Linked DNA regions of Caenorhabditis elegans. The protein of the gene in region 3 purifies or fractionates together with the protein of the main gene of each other region. This does not show direct contact. Each region holds a gene or a part of one and is shown on either strand. Other genes may lie near its edges.

Region 1 (4,260 bases), on a different chromosome or scaffold from region 3:
AATTTCGCGTCCAGAATGCAATCAAACTGTCCTCCCCTGCAAATTCAAACTAGCGAAATTACAGCAAGAATGCTATTGGCCACTCATGAGTATAAACTGGTGAAACGAGGGATAGTTCATGTCAAAGGAAAAGGTATGTCAAACACAATTTTATATAAACTTTTAAATATTTTTGTTTTTCTATGTAGGTGAAGTGAATTGCTACTGGCTTAACGAGCACATACACAAGGACGAAGAAATCGAGGAATCGGGCACAATATCCCATCCCTTAGAGTCGTGAAAATTTTTTAAATCTATTTTTTTAATTCATATACGTTTCTCTAAAAATGAACGTTTAAATAATTTTGCAAAAGCGTTTTCTTACAAAAAAAAAGCCTTTTATGACAACATATCGAAATAACAATAGTTTTTCAAATAAATTCTTTGAATTTTGAAGATCATCCAACTATTTTTCCAAGGTCCACCGATGTTTGTATGCGCAAAAATTTAAAACTAAAAGTAAAAGGTTGAAAACGAAAAGACGGTGACAAGTGGTTAATTATTTGCTCAGAAAAACATAAAAGAGAACTAGAGTTTGTTATAAACGGACACTACAAACTATAAGGCCAGAAGTTGGAGAATTGTAAAAGTTTGAAGTGTGTAAAACTTTAAAAATATGTGAAAACTATAATGTGTTATTTTTCTTCCATATTTTCCTAGTCCAATGTTAAATAAAAAACAATCATTCGGTGCTCTACTAATAAACATTAGCAGAAATCATGATTTTTTTTCTTTTCGAGGCATAGTTAAATCATAGAATAGTAGTTGGTAAACTCAATTAAAACATGGTTTGATAAGAATTGATGATATGGGCAAGAACCAGAACGAGTTCAGGGTGCACTGGCCTATGAGGTTTGACTGATAACTCAGATGGTCGTATATATATATATACCTCCCTGAGAATAATACATGTTTTTTTATGATTGAATAACATTTTTGTTTCAACGTGTTGTATTTGTGTTCTCTCAGGTAATCAATTGATAGTTAAATACGGTATTTTATATGGTAATCTTGCCCAACATTTCTTAACTCTGAAGGTATTTATATCCGTTGTATTGTTTTTTTAAACAATTATAGATATCCAAAAGCTTGATTTTTTATTTATTATTTAGCAATGAAACATTTGCAAATAATTTTTTATTGAGCCGGGATATGAATTAATAAAATATAGAACTGGATTTTGAAATTCGGTGTTGTTCTTAGTTATGTAACGCTAAAATTTTTGTAGTGCTGAAATAAATATTTATGTGTACTTTTCCATATCAAAAGGTGATTTTTCAATAGGAATTTTCACCACTGATTTCATTGAAAAATGCTCCATTTTCTAACAGTTCATTTAACCGGGAACTTTCTCTTGTCCCTTATATCACTTGTCACTTGAATTTTTCTATCTTATCATTATAGTGTCCAGCACACAATACAGACAACTTTGAAGTTCGGTACGTCCTCACCTTTTCAAACAACAATAATATGTACTACCCCTTATGTTATTTTTGCTAATGTAATTCATATTGTTTCAAAAGGTGGCACAACATATTTGTAGTGTTTGCAAAACATTTGTGGCTGGTTTCAACGTTTTGTCAAAACTCCACCTACTTATTGTTCGACCCTCTTTATACCACGAGTCTCCACGAGAACAGGAGGGAGGTACAAAAAGAAACGAAGATTATATCATGTTTTTATTTTCTGCCACACATCTTCTGTTTCTTTAGAAACTTGTTTTCATCTTCGGACTCATCATTCTTTAAAGTGTTCATATTTTGAAACAGTTTTAAAACATTTTATAAATACTTTTAGCTTAAAGAATTAAAAAAAACCATTAAATATTTCAGAGTGAAATATGCGACTTGATTTTGATACGTTTGGATGTTTATATCTATTTGTAATTCCATTTGTGGTTCAACCATTTCTTTCGTGTTGGTTAACGCCAAATGTTAATGACGATAATGTTAATGGCTATGTGGACGAGCGGTTTGAGACCGTTTTAGAAGCATTCCGGTAATGAAAAACTTTTTTGATTTACTATCAAAAACTATTTTTGTTCCAGACGAAATTTTGGACAAGGAGAAGAACGTGAAGGTGCTGCGTTTGCAGTTTATTACAAAGGAAAAGAAGTAGTAAATCTATGGGGTGGATATGCTGACAAAGAGTCGGGAAGAAAATGGTCAGAAAACACCAAAAGTGTGATGTTTTCTGCATCAAAGGTGAGTGCTCATCAGAAAATTTGTATTATGCACACAATTTTTCAGGCCGTTTGTTCTATTGTGATAGCTGTAATGGTTGACAGGGGTCTTCTAAACTATGCAGATCGTGTGGTAGATTATTGGCCAGAGTACGGGCGATATGGTAAAAACGCGACTACCATAGAAGACGTACTTTCTCACAAAGCAGGACTTCCGTATCTCAGTGAAGATATCTCAATAGAAGACGTCAAAAATGGATTGAAAATCATGGAAAAAGTAGAAAACTCTGTTCCAGCTTGGACTCCTGGCACCGCGTCCGGTTATCATGCGGTTACTTTTGGGTTCATTTTAGATGGATTGGTCAGAAAAGCAGATCCACGTGGCAGAAATATAAAGAGATTTTTTGAGGAGGAAATTGCTAGACCAAACGGTGAGTCACTATAACACTAGAAATATTGAATTTTTTTCTCAGATCTCGACATTCAAATCGGTGCCCAAAAATCAGAGGCTCCATATCTCGCTCGTCTCACAACACCGTCTTTATGGGAATTCACGCGTGATATAATAAAGGACCCAAAAATTCTTATTATGCTTGGACTTATGTATATCCGCTTTGATACACTTGTTCATAAAATGAGATCAAATCCAGATTGGCTACTCGTTAATTACGTAAGTGTTTCTTAATGTTGTTGAACAGGAAACACAATTTGAAACTGTTTAGGATACTATGGTATTAAACGATCCCGAGATTGTTTCTCTAAATCTTCCCGCTGTAACCGCTATTGGAAATGTGAGAGATGTTTCAAGGTTGTTATCAATGATCGTTGAAAAGGTAATTGGAACATTGAATCTCAGACTTGAAAAATAGTTTTTACAGGAGCTAATATCAAATACCACACTCCTCGAACTTTCCCGGCCTACGTTAAACAGCTGGCATTTCGAAAAAGTAACTATCTGGCCGGTTATCAAAGGGCATGGGTTCTTCTATGAAAAACACCCATTGATACCTGTAAGAAAGTTGAAATTGTAGTAATTCGAAAAATAATAGAACAATGCTTTAGGAAGCCTTCACATTTGGCCATCCAGGTTACGGTGGACAGTTTGTTCACATGGATCCAGAATCTCAAATTTCAATTACATATTTATCAAATGGTTTGAAAACTGGCACTGGAGAGCTTTGCGGAACATATATGAGATTACTGAACGAAGTATACAATAGTTTGAGGAGAATATAATCTGAAGAGAATATAGTTTCATTTTTCTAACAGTTACCTCACTTCTTTTCATGTTTGTATATTTAAAAAAAAACAACACAACAATGCTTAATTCGTCAAATATATGATCTCAACCTTTTCTCATCAATGCCTTGCTCCTTCGCGTGACATGAATATTTAACTTCCAAATATTAACTCTACCTTTTATGAAAATGTCTCAGATATAACCCATTTATTTATTTTATCGACAAGTATCAGAACGAATTGGCTAAAAACTCGAAAGTATGTAGTATTGAGTAAAATTGATTATTTATTGTCAATTTAATGTTCATGTCCTTATTGAACCGCCACCTGAAACAAAATAAATTCTGTAGAGTCAATAGTGGTGGTTTTACCTCAGCTAACTTGCTGAGTTTCTGAGCAACACACTCATTAAATCGTGTTGCATGGTCAGGTGATATGAATTTCAAAAGTTCACGAGCATTTCGATAGTATTTAGTGTGAAGGGAGATCTGAAAGCTAAACATTATACGGTTATTTCTAAATCAAGTGCATACTTTCGTATAATCCCCGTTCATGCAATCAGTATGGGACGAAGCAATTCTCCATCCTTTCATAGTCAGCTCTAAAGTGTATGGGCTTCCTTCCTGAGTTTTCACATTAACAAAAATCAGGTCACTAGTTCTGGGGAGCATTTCCGAAACACTGATGTCTTGAACTTCATGTGCTAATTCGTGGACTGCAGCAATTGCTTCCAGTTCCAGCGGTCCAACGTCATCATCTGACGGAATAACTCCACCTTCCTAAAATTATTAATGAAATCC
Region 2 (5,320 bases), on a different chromosome or scaffold from region 3:
ACAATGCATACCTGTGTTTGAGGAAAATCAATAAACTAACCTTTACTCTCCAATTACTGAGACTGAGATTGTCAAATGGTTCAGAAATATTTAATTTATGAAATGCTTTTGTTTCGGAATCATTCATCGAACTGATCTTTTTGTCCGATTTATTGTTTTAAACTTATCCTTTAAGCGATGTAATTGTTTAAAAAATGTGAAATGATTCGAAAAGGTAAATTTAATACGAGCAAAGATCACTTGGAAAAATAAGGATATTGAAATGCCGTTTTGGTAAGAGTTACGTGACATGTTTGAAATGAAATTTTTGAAGATTATGACAACTTTGCTGAAGTTTCAACTACCGTAACCTAGCTGTGAAATTACACCAACCAGTAAACTATTTTGCAGCAGATTGAATCCTTCCATAAATTCCTTCAAGAAAGCTCCAATCAACTGGATAGTGTCTACTTGAGTGCCACACTTTTAAACTTTTGAGCATCTTGAAGCTTGTGTAGCTGCAGGTAGAGACAAATGTAAAATGTCATTGTTTTTGATTAACAAAACATGAGCAAAATTATGAAAACTCAATTTTAAAAAGCCACATTAACAGGTGTGAAATTACAGTAACGTACACCTTTTCGTATTTCGGCAACCGGCTACTTGATTGCCGGTTTCCTAAGGAGTAGATCGCCTAACAATGAGTTAAAATATGTCTGACAACAGTGGCTGCATGTAACAAAAATTTAAAAATGTATCATTTATTTAGCATCATGTTTTATAGCTTTGAATTCCCGCCATTTCTAAGTTTTTCCACTTTTTGCAAAAACTCGTCCATTTTCTCCAAATATAATTTCGGATACTTTCTGAAGTGTTCGACGTGTGCAGTATCTTTTAGCCTAGTCGCCATGATTTGTCTCTTCTTATCACTTTTCTTTGCAGCACACTCGTTGAATAAGTTGATTTCACTGAAAGATAAATATATTTGAATACTTTTTTAAAGCATGAACTAATAATACTTACTCAGCAGAACAAACAATGTCATTATCGGAAAAAATAGAAGTTAAGATTGGTGGAAGATGTGGATGATTCAATAGATAAAAGAACGGATTTGCCTCTTCAATTGTACACAATCCAGCTTTTATAGACATTGTGTCCTGCAGAAATGATACATTGGAAATTTGAAAAGCGTTAGGTAAAATTTTGAGGTAGACAAAAAAAATACAACTAACCATAATCATTTGATATCCAAACCTTGCTGTTTCCCATTTCTTGTAAACTTTATAAAAGTTTCCAAGTACGAAATTCGAGTTTTTGATCTGAAAAATTGAAATGGCTCTCAATTTCATTTTTGTAAGTGAGAGGCTCTTCTCAACGTTAACCCATTCTAGAGTACTGTATAGTTCGAAGCCGTTTGTGGAAGTCCCCATGATCATCCCAAAGCTAAAAGCTGTGAGGCAAAAAATGGATCGACTATGTATCCAACTACTATTAGTTTTTAAAAACTAGTGCTTACCAATTGATCATAAACATGATTCATGACCAATGCATGTTTTTGCATATTCTCAATTGAAAAAGAGAAGCATGCTGGACATGAATCCATAAATATTCCATCGCATTTTTCAATTGCTTTTAATTCTGGAAATTGTGAATCAAGAGAAGTGAGTGCAATAAATCCATTCATAGAGAATACATGAAATACAAGACGATTTGAAGGATTTATAAGGACAGAGTCAAGTGTGCTTGCTAGATGATCCACATTTCTACCATCCTGAAATTCTTTAAAATTATAACTGCTTTATGTGAAATAGAAAACTTTTGTAGACCGATTTCAGAATTTTGGATAAATTGAGAATTGAAAGTACCCTCGAGCAATATGTTTCATAGAAAACAGTCTTAAATTATTTTCCAATTTTTACTAATTCTACTGCATTCTATTTATTAGGCTCCACTTATTCTGCATTGGCAGTTCTTTTTTAGTTTTATTGGAATATATATTCTATTACTGCGTATTCCAAATGTTAACTGGTAGAGTGTTATATCCAAAGTTAGTCTACTACCGTATAGCAAAACTATTTCAGGCCAAACTTAAACGAATAATTGTGAATTGCACGAAATGGGCTGACATTTTGTCGACCCTTATTTGGAATTTTCGTCAAAATGTGCATTATATTTTTTCATTATATTTTTCTTCTGCTCACCTTAGTTCCCCATCCTTTAACAGCCGCAAGAGCTGTGAATTGAACTGTTGTGTACCTGAAGATTACAAACGGGTGCAATTTTATAAAACCTAGGTTTCTGAGTTGAGAGCATAACAAAATTTGACAAACATTTTCACATTTTCTCACTTCAACATACCCTTTCTTTTGATAAATCCCTGCATATTTCTCCACATTTCTGTCAACAGCTCCCGCCCATCCAAGTAATGCAACGATTGTGTCACGCTTCCCATGTCTCACAATTGCTTTTGGTCTTGACATTTTATGTAACAGAAACGAGCCTGAAAAAAGTATAAAACTGTAGCATGTTCGAGAAAAGTTGGAGATGAAGATGAAATTATGGTCAGACATCGGCGCCACGTAACTTTCCAGACGTTTTTTCAGAAACTAAAAAAGGTCTAATACGCAAATATAAGCGGACTATTCGAGATAAGAACACAAGTAACTGAAAAAAAACAGAACTAGTCTGTGATAACAAATAATTTTTTGAGAATTGGCTGAGCAGCCAACTAGCCGTTGAGGGTCAACCCATTGCGATTCGTTTGTTGATCAAAGATTTACCTATGAGTATAACCAAAGCTACTGGTTAGTCTTCGTCCCGCTGGCTGATAAAATATCAGAATATCATACGCCAAGGTTTTTTTTAATTAGCTCCTAGTTAGGAACTAAAATTTAAATGTGACATACGATAAACTATAGAATCTATTTGCTCAAACCTCAATTTTTTTGATTGACAGAGTGATGACTATACATTCTCATTACGAAGAACAAAATCTCAAAAGTACACATGTCATTATACTACTATAGTACGTAGTAAAAGTTTTGGTGAATAGACAAATTTTTGAAATTTGGACTTTTTGAGAAATTAAGAGCATCTTGAATGTTCAGAGCACTATTAAAAAAAAAGGTTCAAAACTTGCATTAAAATTATTTTGGTCGACTTCCAAAATCATGAAAATTGGAAACTGAGCAAGAAAAACTTTTAAGTATATTTCTTAATAGTTTTTGATTTTTGTAAATAATAAGTTTTTTTCAAATCACATTTTGGTGAATAGCAGATTTTTACAACTTTTTTGTTGGTCAAGGAGAAATCAACATGAGAAAAATGGGAAAATCTCTTCAGAGTAATGTGGATGTTCACATTTTGGATTTGTTTCAACTCAAAAGGTACATATAGTCTTCATTGGTATTATTTAAATTCAGGCAAAAACCACTGCAACCACCCATTCATCCTTGTCAGATACACTTAAAAACCGTTCGTTATCAAAGATAATCTTCGGAAAAACATCAGAAAGAATGGAAAAGCAGGGAAAACGTACCAAAACTGCGTCTAATCATTTTGTTATCGGGGAGGGCACAACTTGAACGTTCTTCTTATCAATGTTCTTAACGAGTGATTGGATATTGATTTTACGGAGAAAAACGAAGACCACGTTGTAGTTATTTTGTTTTCACGCTTTTACTATTTCAGAGACAAGAAACAAAATTGCAAACTCTAAAATGTTTATTGGCAATCTAAATTTGAACAAAAACCCGGAAATCTTGAATCTACTGAAGTTTCGGATGAAATGTCAATTCAATATTTTCAGTTAGTCTACTCCATTTCCAAACTGAGAAAAGCGAGTCAACAAGGCATTAAGAAGGTACAGAAATTGAATGACCCGTTAATTAACAATTATTCCTCATTTCTTCATTTATACGACGCTTCGACGTGTCTAACAAAGTTCAGGCAAGCTGTACGGTAATCTTTTGGATGTGTTCGAATGTGTGCAACATGCTCAGAGTCGACGAAATCAATAGCGGTCACTGAATTTCCTTTTTCTTTTTGTTTTTCAATGAATTTCTCGACATGTCTGAAAAATCTCATAAATTGATCAATCAACGTAATAAATTGTACATACTTCGCCTTGATCATAGTGTCAGCTTTAGAGTATAAATACAGTTGATCACGTGGCAGGGCAATATGTGTTTGAAGATAATAGTAGATTGACACAAACGAACGTAAAAATGGAACCATCGTAAGAAGTGGGATTTGCTGAAAAACGAATTTGAATGAGGTTTTTGAAAATTCAAATATGGGGTTTTTCTTCGTATTTAATGAAAGAGGTTTACTGATTTTTGCTAAGAGATTGTCTAAAACTGGATTGAAAGAACCGAATTTTATTAAGAAAAAATTTCCAAACATTTTTATAGACGGGTCAAAATTTCGAAAAAAAGGTAACCTTACAATTAGTTACAATCTGAAATTTCGCCAATTTTTCCTTGCCGTAGCAACTGGAATACAGTTTTTATTAAATTATCATTCTTTTTGCATATTTTGGTAGTTTATCTCGCGTTAGTTCGTTGATTTAGAAACATTTAAATTCGAATTCAATTTTGGTAATTGTTGGGTGCTTATCGACTTGAAATGTTCTTAAATCAATGAAGTAAAGCGAGATAAACGACCAAAATACTTAATTCAAAAATTTTAAAAAATAATAATACTGTATTCTAGCTGAATTTTCAGATTTTAGCAAAATTTTATTATTTTTTTCAAAAAACCTGCAATTAAATTTTTTTGACATTTTTGAGGTCTCGAATTTCGGTCTTTTCAGACCAGTTTTAGTATATTTGAGCAATAAAAATAGTCACAACTTCCAAAAAATAAGTTTAAATAGTGTTTTCTCAATTATGAAAAACGAACCAAGTAAGCTCGTAGATTCAAGAACCAAGTAAGCACAGAAATTCTCGTTTGCTCACTAATCCATCGTTCAAATGCATCAATTGGAGGAGTTGAAATGACCATTGCCGTAGCGTCTTGTTTTCCATATGGGCGCGATGGGGCACTGAAAAATAAAAATTTAAGAATAACTGAAACCAAAGTTCAATTTCAATATAAAACTCACCTATCGAAAATAATTCCTTTAATTCGTTCTCTTAATTGTGGTTTTTCCTCTGCTTCTGTCCATTTCCAAAATGAAATTAATCCGCGTACTCCGTTCATTGAAAATGAGTGAACAATTATTGGACTGAAAACTGATTAATTCAATATTTAATTTTTTAAAAATCAACCCAACCATTTGGCAAATGATCTGAAATCTCCGGGTTTTGCATCAATTGCTCTGAAAAGTGGTGACATGTAG
Region 3 (4,130 bases):
AAAAAGGTCCGAAGCCCGTTTAATTGGTGATAAAATGTGAAAAAAAATGATAAGGTTCGAGAGATTTTATGAGGTTTCTGGTAAAAAACGATGATGATGAAAGATTGTGTCGAAACTGGTTTTTTGTATAAACGAATGAATGGCGGGAACAGAGAACAAAAGTAGATCACGATATAAAAAAAAACAGTTCACAGGAAAAGCGTTTGTGGAAAAAACATTTGGCGGAGCGATTCAAAACAAAACCACATAGTTTTTTTTAAATCCATAATTAATTTTATTGTTTTTTAAAAAATTTATTTCCAATAGAATTTCAAAATCCGGATAAAGAAGAAATAAAAAAAAATAATAAAAAAATAAAAAAAGTTCACACCGTCTTTGACGACAAAATGCAGACTGGGTTACTGTACAGGAAAACTTTTTCTTGACTTTTTTGCACTTTTAATGTCATTAATTGCAAATTTCGCTAGTTTAAAAACACGGAAAGTTGTTAATATATTTTTTTAAAAATTATATAAAACATTTTATTTTTTGTTTGTTAAACTTTTAATTTCTCGAAAATGTTCTGTGAATTTAATGAAACACCGAAGCTGACGACGTTTGTGGATACGGTAATTTTTTATTCGAAATTAAATATTCTTGAGCAAAATTCAACGTAATAAGAAGACAAGTAGCAGAATGATAATATTTCCAACATTTTGGAAAGGAGAATTTCCAAAATTCAAATTCAAATTTTCAGTGGTCGATGGCTCGGGAAAACATAAATTCTTGACTCTAGAAGAACTATTCCACATAGCCTCATAGTCATCGGCTCGATTATCATTACAGGTTCGTGGAGGCTGAAAAAAACAAGAAAAGTGATGAGCAATTGAATTTAACGAAATGCTCACTGTTATTGTCTGACACTTTGGATCACATAGGTGGCACAGGCGGATAGTACATCCGACATGCATGTACTTCATATCTGGAAGATTGAAATGAAATATTGTTGATTTGAAAGAGATAACAGAGAAAAAGAGAGGAAGTTTTTCGGATTGGGTTTGTTGTTGATTGGGGGTGCGTTCGTTTTTTATTTGTTTGATTTTCTAAAAATAAGCAAGGAAATCTTGAAAACCTTCGTGGTAGCAAAGTTGTTCAACAAAAAACAACCGGAGACTAAAATCAAACTAACTTTTCTGTCTTACAGCCATCCATCCAATTGCTGCAGCTCTATTAAATGATGTATAAACTGGAGATGTTAGTATTGCTTTTTCAATTGTACATCCATCATCTCTTAATATGTAAACAGACATATTTGGTGATCCAATCCAACAACTTTCCACTCGCATCGCGTACTTGGCTGAAAATGGTTACAATGAAGCTTTACAGTACCGGCAAATATTATATTGGTTCTTGGTTATGCTTAGAATTTCTTGCCAAAAACAGTATTTATTCAACTTACTTGTATCGCAAACCCATTTATAACAAACTCTTGTTGACCATGATAAGGTGTCGTTTAATTTAAACTGAGGACTTGAACATGTATCTCTGAAATACAAGAAGTTTGAATTCATGTACCATGATCAAAACTAACCAAACAGTTTGGAAGTAACTTTTTTGATATTTTTGAAATTTAATTTTTTTAAAATTTAGTTGTTTGAAATTATAGGCAAAAAATTTTACTTCCATAAAAACTGAAAAGTCTAAACTAAAAGAACCGAAAGAAATGAAACATAGGTACCGATCCCAGCCTGACTTATGCAATGTTAGCCGACATCTTGGATGTCCTGTAGATGTGATCGTTGTCTCATTTTCATAGATCATATTTAGTACTTCGACACGAACTCCAATTTTCTGATTCATAAGTTCACTATATTCACATTTGATTGTGGTCTGTAAGGGTTAGAGAAAATTGTGATATTTTCAGATTTTCTTTTTCGATATTTGCCAACACCTTGAAAAAAATTTTCCGAAAAATCGAAAACATAATACAGATTTTTTAACAGATTTATTTAGTTTTTTTGACCCGCACTGGGTATATTTCGATCAAATAATTACTGGTGCTACTCCACGTTTAATTGTAAGGGCGCATGAATTTATTCGGATGGGACTTGTCAAAACAAGTTATTGCAGTACATTAAATTTATCCAATAGTCGAAAAAATCAATTAAAAGCAAAAATGTCAAAACTTACAGAAAATATCACTAAAACGCAAAATATCCTATTATATTCCACCATCATATTGAATGCATTAAGCTGATAGATTTTTTAAAGATCTGAAAACTTTAGAATGAAAAAATAGGCTAACATAAATTCTAAACAAATGCACCAAAATGCCAAAAGAGGACGAGAAGAAATAGGAGAATGCATTGAAATGAAAAGAGGATGAGCTGATGATTTATGGGCTTCACAGTAGTGAATTGGAAAGGGCAAAGAGTAGATAACTAATGTGGGAAGACATTGTTCAGAAAGGAGAACGGAGAAAATGTGCAATGGGCTTTTTACTATAAGTGAACTCATAATGAAGTTCAAAACTACGATGAGCTATTACCAAATGAGTCATATGCGGCTTAAGTTTTTTTTGGATAAATAATTAAAAATTCTGTGGCGAGCTTCTCAAGTTTAACTTGCTGATAAATGTAAAAGTGGATTAGACAAATTTAAAAGTTTAAAAACTGAAAGTATGCATTCAGAAAATTGGCAATTTACCAAAACGTTGACTGAAAAATTTTTGCAAATTCTAGTTTTTGAATTCGAATATAATATTCAGTCATGTTATTGTAGGTCAAGCATGACTGATTATCATAATTAAATTCAGAATCTAGATTTTTTCAAAAATGTTCAATTAAATTTTTGGTAAATTGCCTTTTTTTTTTTGAAAAAATATAGAAGAAGAAGTATTGAGAGAATATTACTGCAGGTTCTGACATCTATAATTTTCACATAGAAACAATTGAAAAACAATGGAAACTTGAATTAACTTAGTAAATACAATTTTCCAAAACTCTGATATCTGGACGAATGTTGGCAAAAGCAGAGATATCTGATAAATTTAGGTTTTTTTTTCAAAAATTGGAAAAATTATATCTCGAAAACGGGATTGAAAAATTGTGTTTGAAAAATTATAAATTGGAAGTTTCGACATTTGTTTTTCAAAAAAAAAAAAGCAGAAGTTGGTCATTTTTCTGAAAAATGAGTTGTGAAAATTGTAGACGGCTAATATTGTTTTTCAGCCTTGAATGGTACTCCGTTCTATTAAAACTAACAAAAATTAATTTTTGATAATTTTCATTCAAAAAGCGTTGCGAGCTCTGTTTAGAATATTTTTGAAAAATCCGAAAATGAAAAACTCAAAAACCAGCCAAAACTCAAAAGATGCTTCCTCATATAAAACAAAGCGGTTCTGAAATTGGACAATTTGGCCTCATCTTTAGAATTGAGCGCTTAAACTTGGTAGAAAGACATTTCCGGGGAAAGAAGAAAGTCCTACTAGATGTGTGTGCTTGTTGCTGTTTTTGAATAATGATAGTTGGGAGAGCAGAGATGGGATGTCCCATGGGATCATAGAAGTCTCAGGGCTTGTCACGAAGAAGACTTTGTTAAAAGAAGGATAACAGAACAAGAAAAAGAAAAAGATATGGAGATTTTTGACGGATTTTTGAAAGATTCAATGTGAAGTTTCGTTTTCCTTATTTATGTTTCCGTGTTTTCAAACCTTTTTCTCCACAAAAGGTAGGGTTTCTATGGTAGGACCGCCGCACTTTGAAAAATTAAATTACTGAAATCGAAAAAAAAAATCAGTGCGCCATTCATCAAGGTGTGATAGCAATGATATGTGCTAAATCATTTTTAAAACATTTAATAAAAACTGCAAAATGTTCATATATCGTGAACTTAAAATTATAAATAAATTTTAAAAAAACATAAACGTTTTCACAACTGTTTTAATTTATTTCCGAATATTTCAAATAGTAAAATGAGACGAGTTTCAATAAATTCTTTTCTAGAACCGGTGAGTTTTATTACAGGGGTTTTCCAACAGTTAATCGAATTTTTCAGAATTCTCCAAATGTTCCAAATCGTGTGACCATACCGGACGGTGATCTACGTCGAAACTCAGATGATACGGCAACTGATAGAATTTCGCTAACAAA

Evidence for each region.
Region 1: the proteins of cutl-19 (region 3) and lact-6 fractionate together in Caenorhabditis elegans (co-fractionation; one large-scale study listed by BioGRID). This does not show direct contact.
Region 2: the proteins of cutl-19 (region 3) and T10B11.5 fractionate together in Caenorhabditis elegans (co-fractionation; one large-scale study listed by BioGRID). This does not show direct contact.

Annotation. Positions count from the first base shown.
Region 1 is NC_003282.8:17,428,997-17,433,256, reverse strand, and holds lact-6 (Beta-lactamase-related domain-containing protein), read left to right. Parts: upstream 1-1,869; 5' UTR 1,870-1,879; coding exon 1,880-2,037; intron 2,038-2,086; coding exon 2,087-2,243; intron 2,244-2,288; coding exon 2,289-2,652; intron 2,653-2,694; coding exon 2,695-2,891; intron 2,892-2,943; coding exon 2,944-3,054; intron 3,055-3,067; exon of another isoform or gene 3,068-3,088; intron 3,089-3,099; coding exon 3,100-3,231; intron 3,232-3,283; coding exon 3,284-3,457; 3' UTR 3,458-3,660; downstream 3,661-4,260. Other genes in the region: Receptor-type guanylate cyclase gcy-27, read left to right, coding at 1-133, 189-280; C06A12.3 (GSKIP domain-containing protein), read right to left, coding at 3,773-3,787, 3,832-3,948, 3,994-4,239.
Region 2 is NC_003279.8:6,939,492-6,944,811, forward strand, and holds T10B11.5 (DUF1273 family protein), read right to left. Parts: upstream 3,587-5,320; 5' UTR 3,518-3,586; intron 2,480-3,517; 5' UTR 2,460-2,479; coding exon 2,338-2,459; intron 2,236-2,337; coding exon 2,181-2,235; intron 1,751-2,180; coding exon 1,496-1,750; intron 1,299-1,495; coding exon 1,212-1,298; intron 1,137-1,211; coding exon 1,003-1,136; intron 948-1,002; coding exon 758-947; 3' UTR 724-757; downstream 1-723. Other genes in the region: T10B11.4 (Ubiquitin-like domain-containing protein), read right to left, coding at 41-127; T10B11.6 (Transmembrane protein 53), read right to left, coding at 3,889-4,051, 4,100-4,233, 4,882-5,023, 5,084-5,206, 5,255-5,320.
Region 3 is NC_003281.10:5,215,353-5,219,482, forward strand, and holds cutl-19 (Cuticlin-like protein 19), read right to left. Parts: upstream 2,260-4,130; 5' UTR 2,215-2,259; coding exon 2,170-2,214; intron 1,870-2,169; coding exon 1,718-1,869; intron 1,525-1,717; coding exon 1,439-1,524; intron 1,337-1,438; coding exon 1,169-1,336; intron 962-1,168; coding exon 888-961; intron 837-887; coding exon 648-836; 3' UTR 599-647; downstream 1-598. Other genes in the region: ZC155.2 (Histone H2A/H2B/H3 domain-containing protein), read left to right, coding at 3,953-3,988, 4,036-4,130.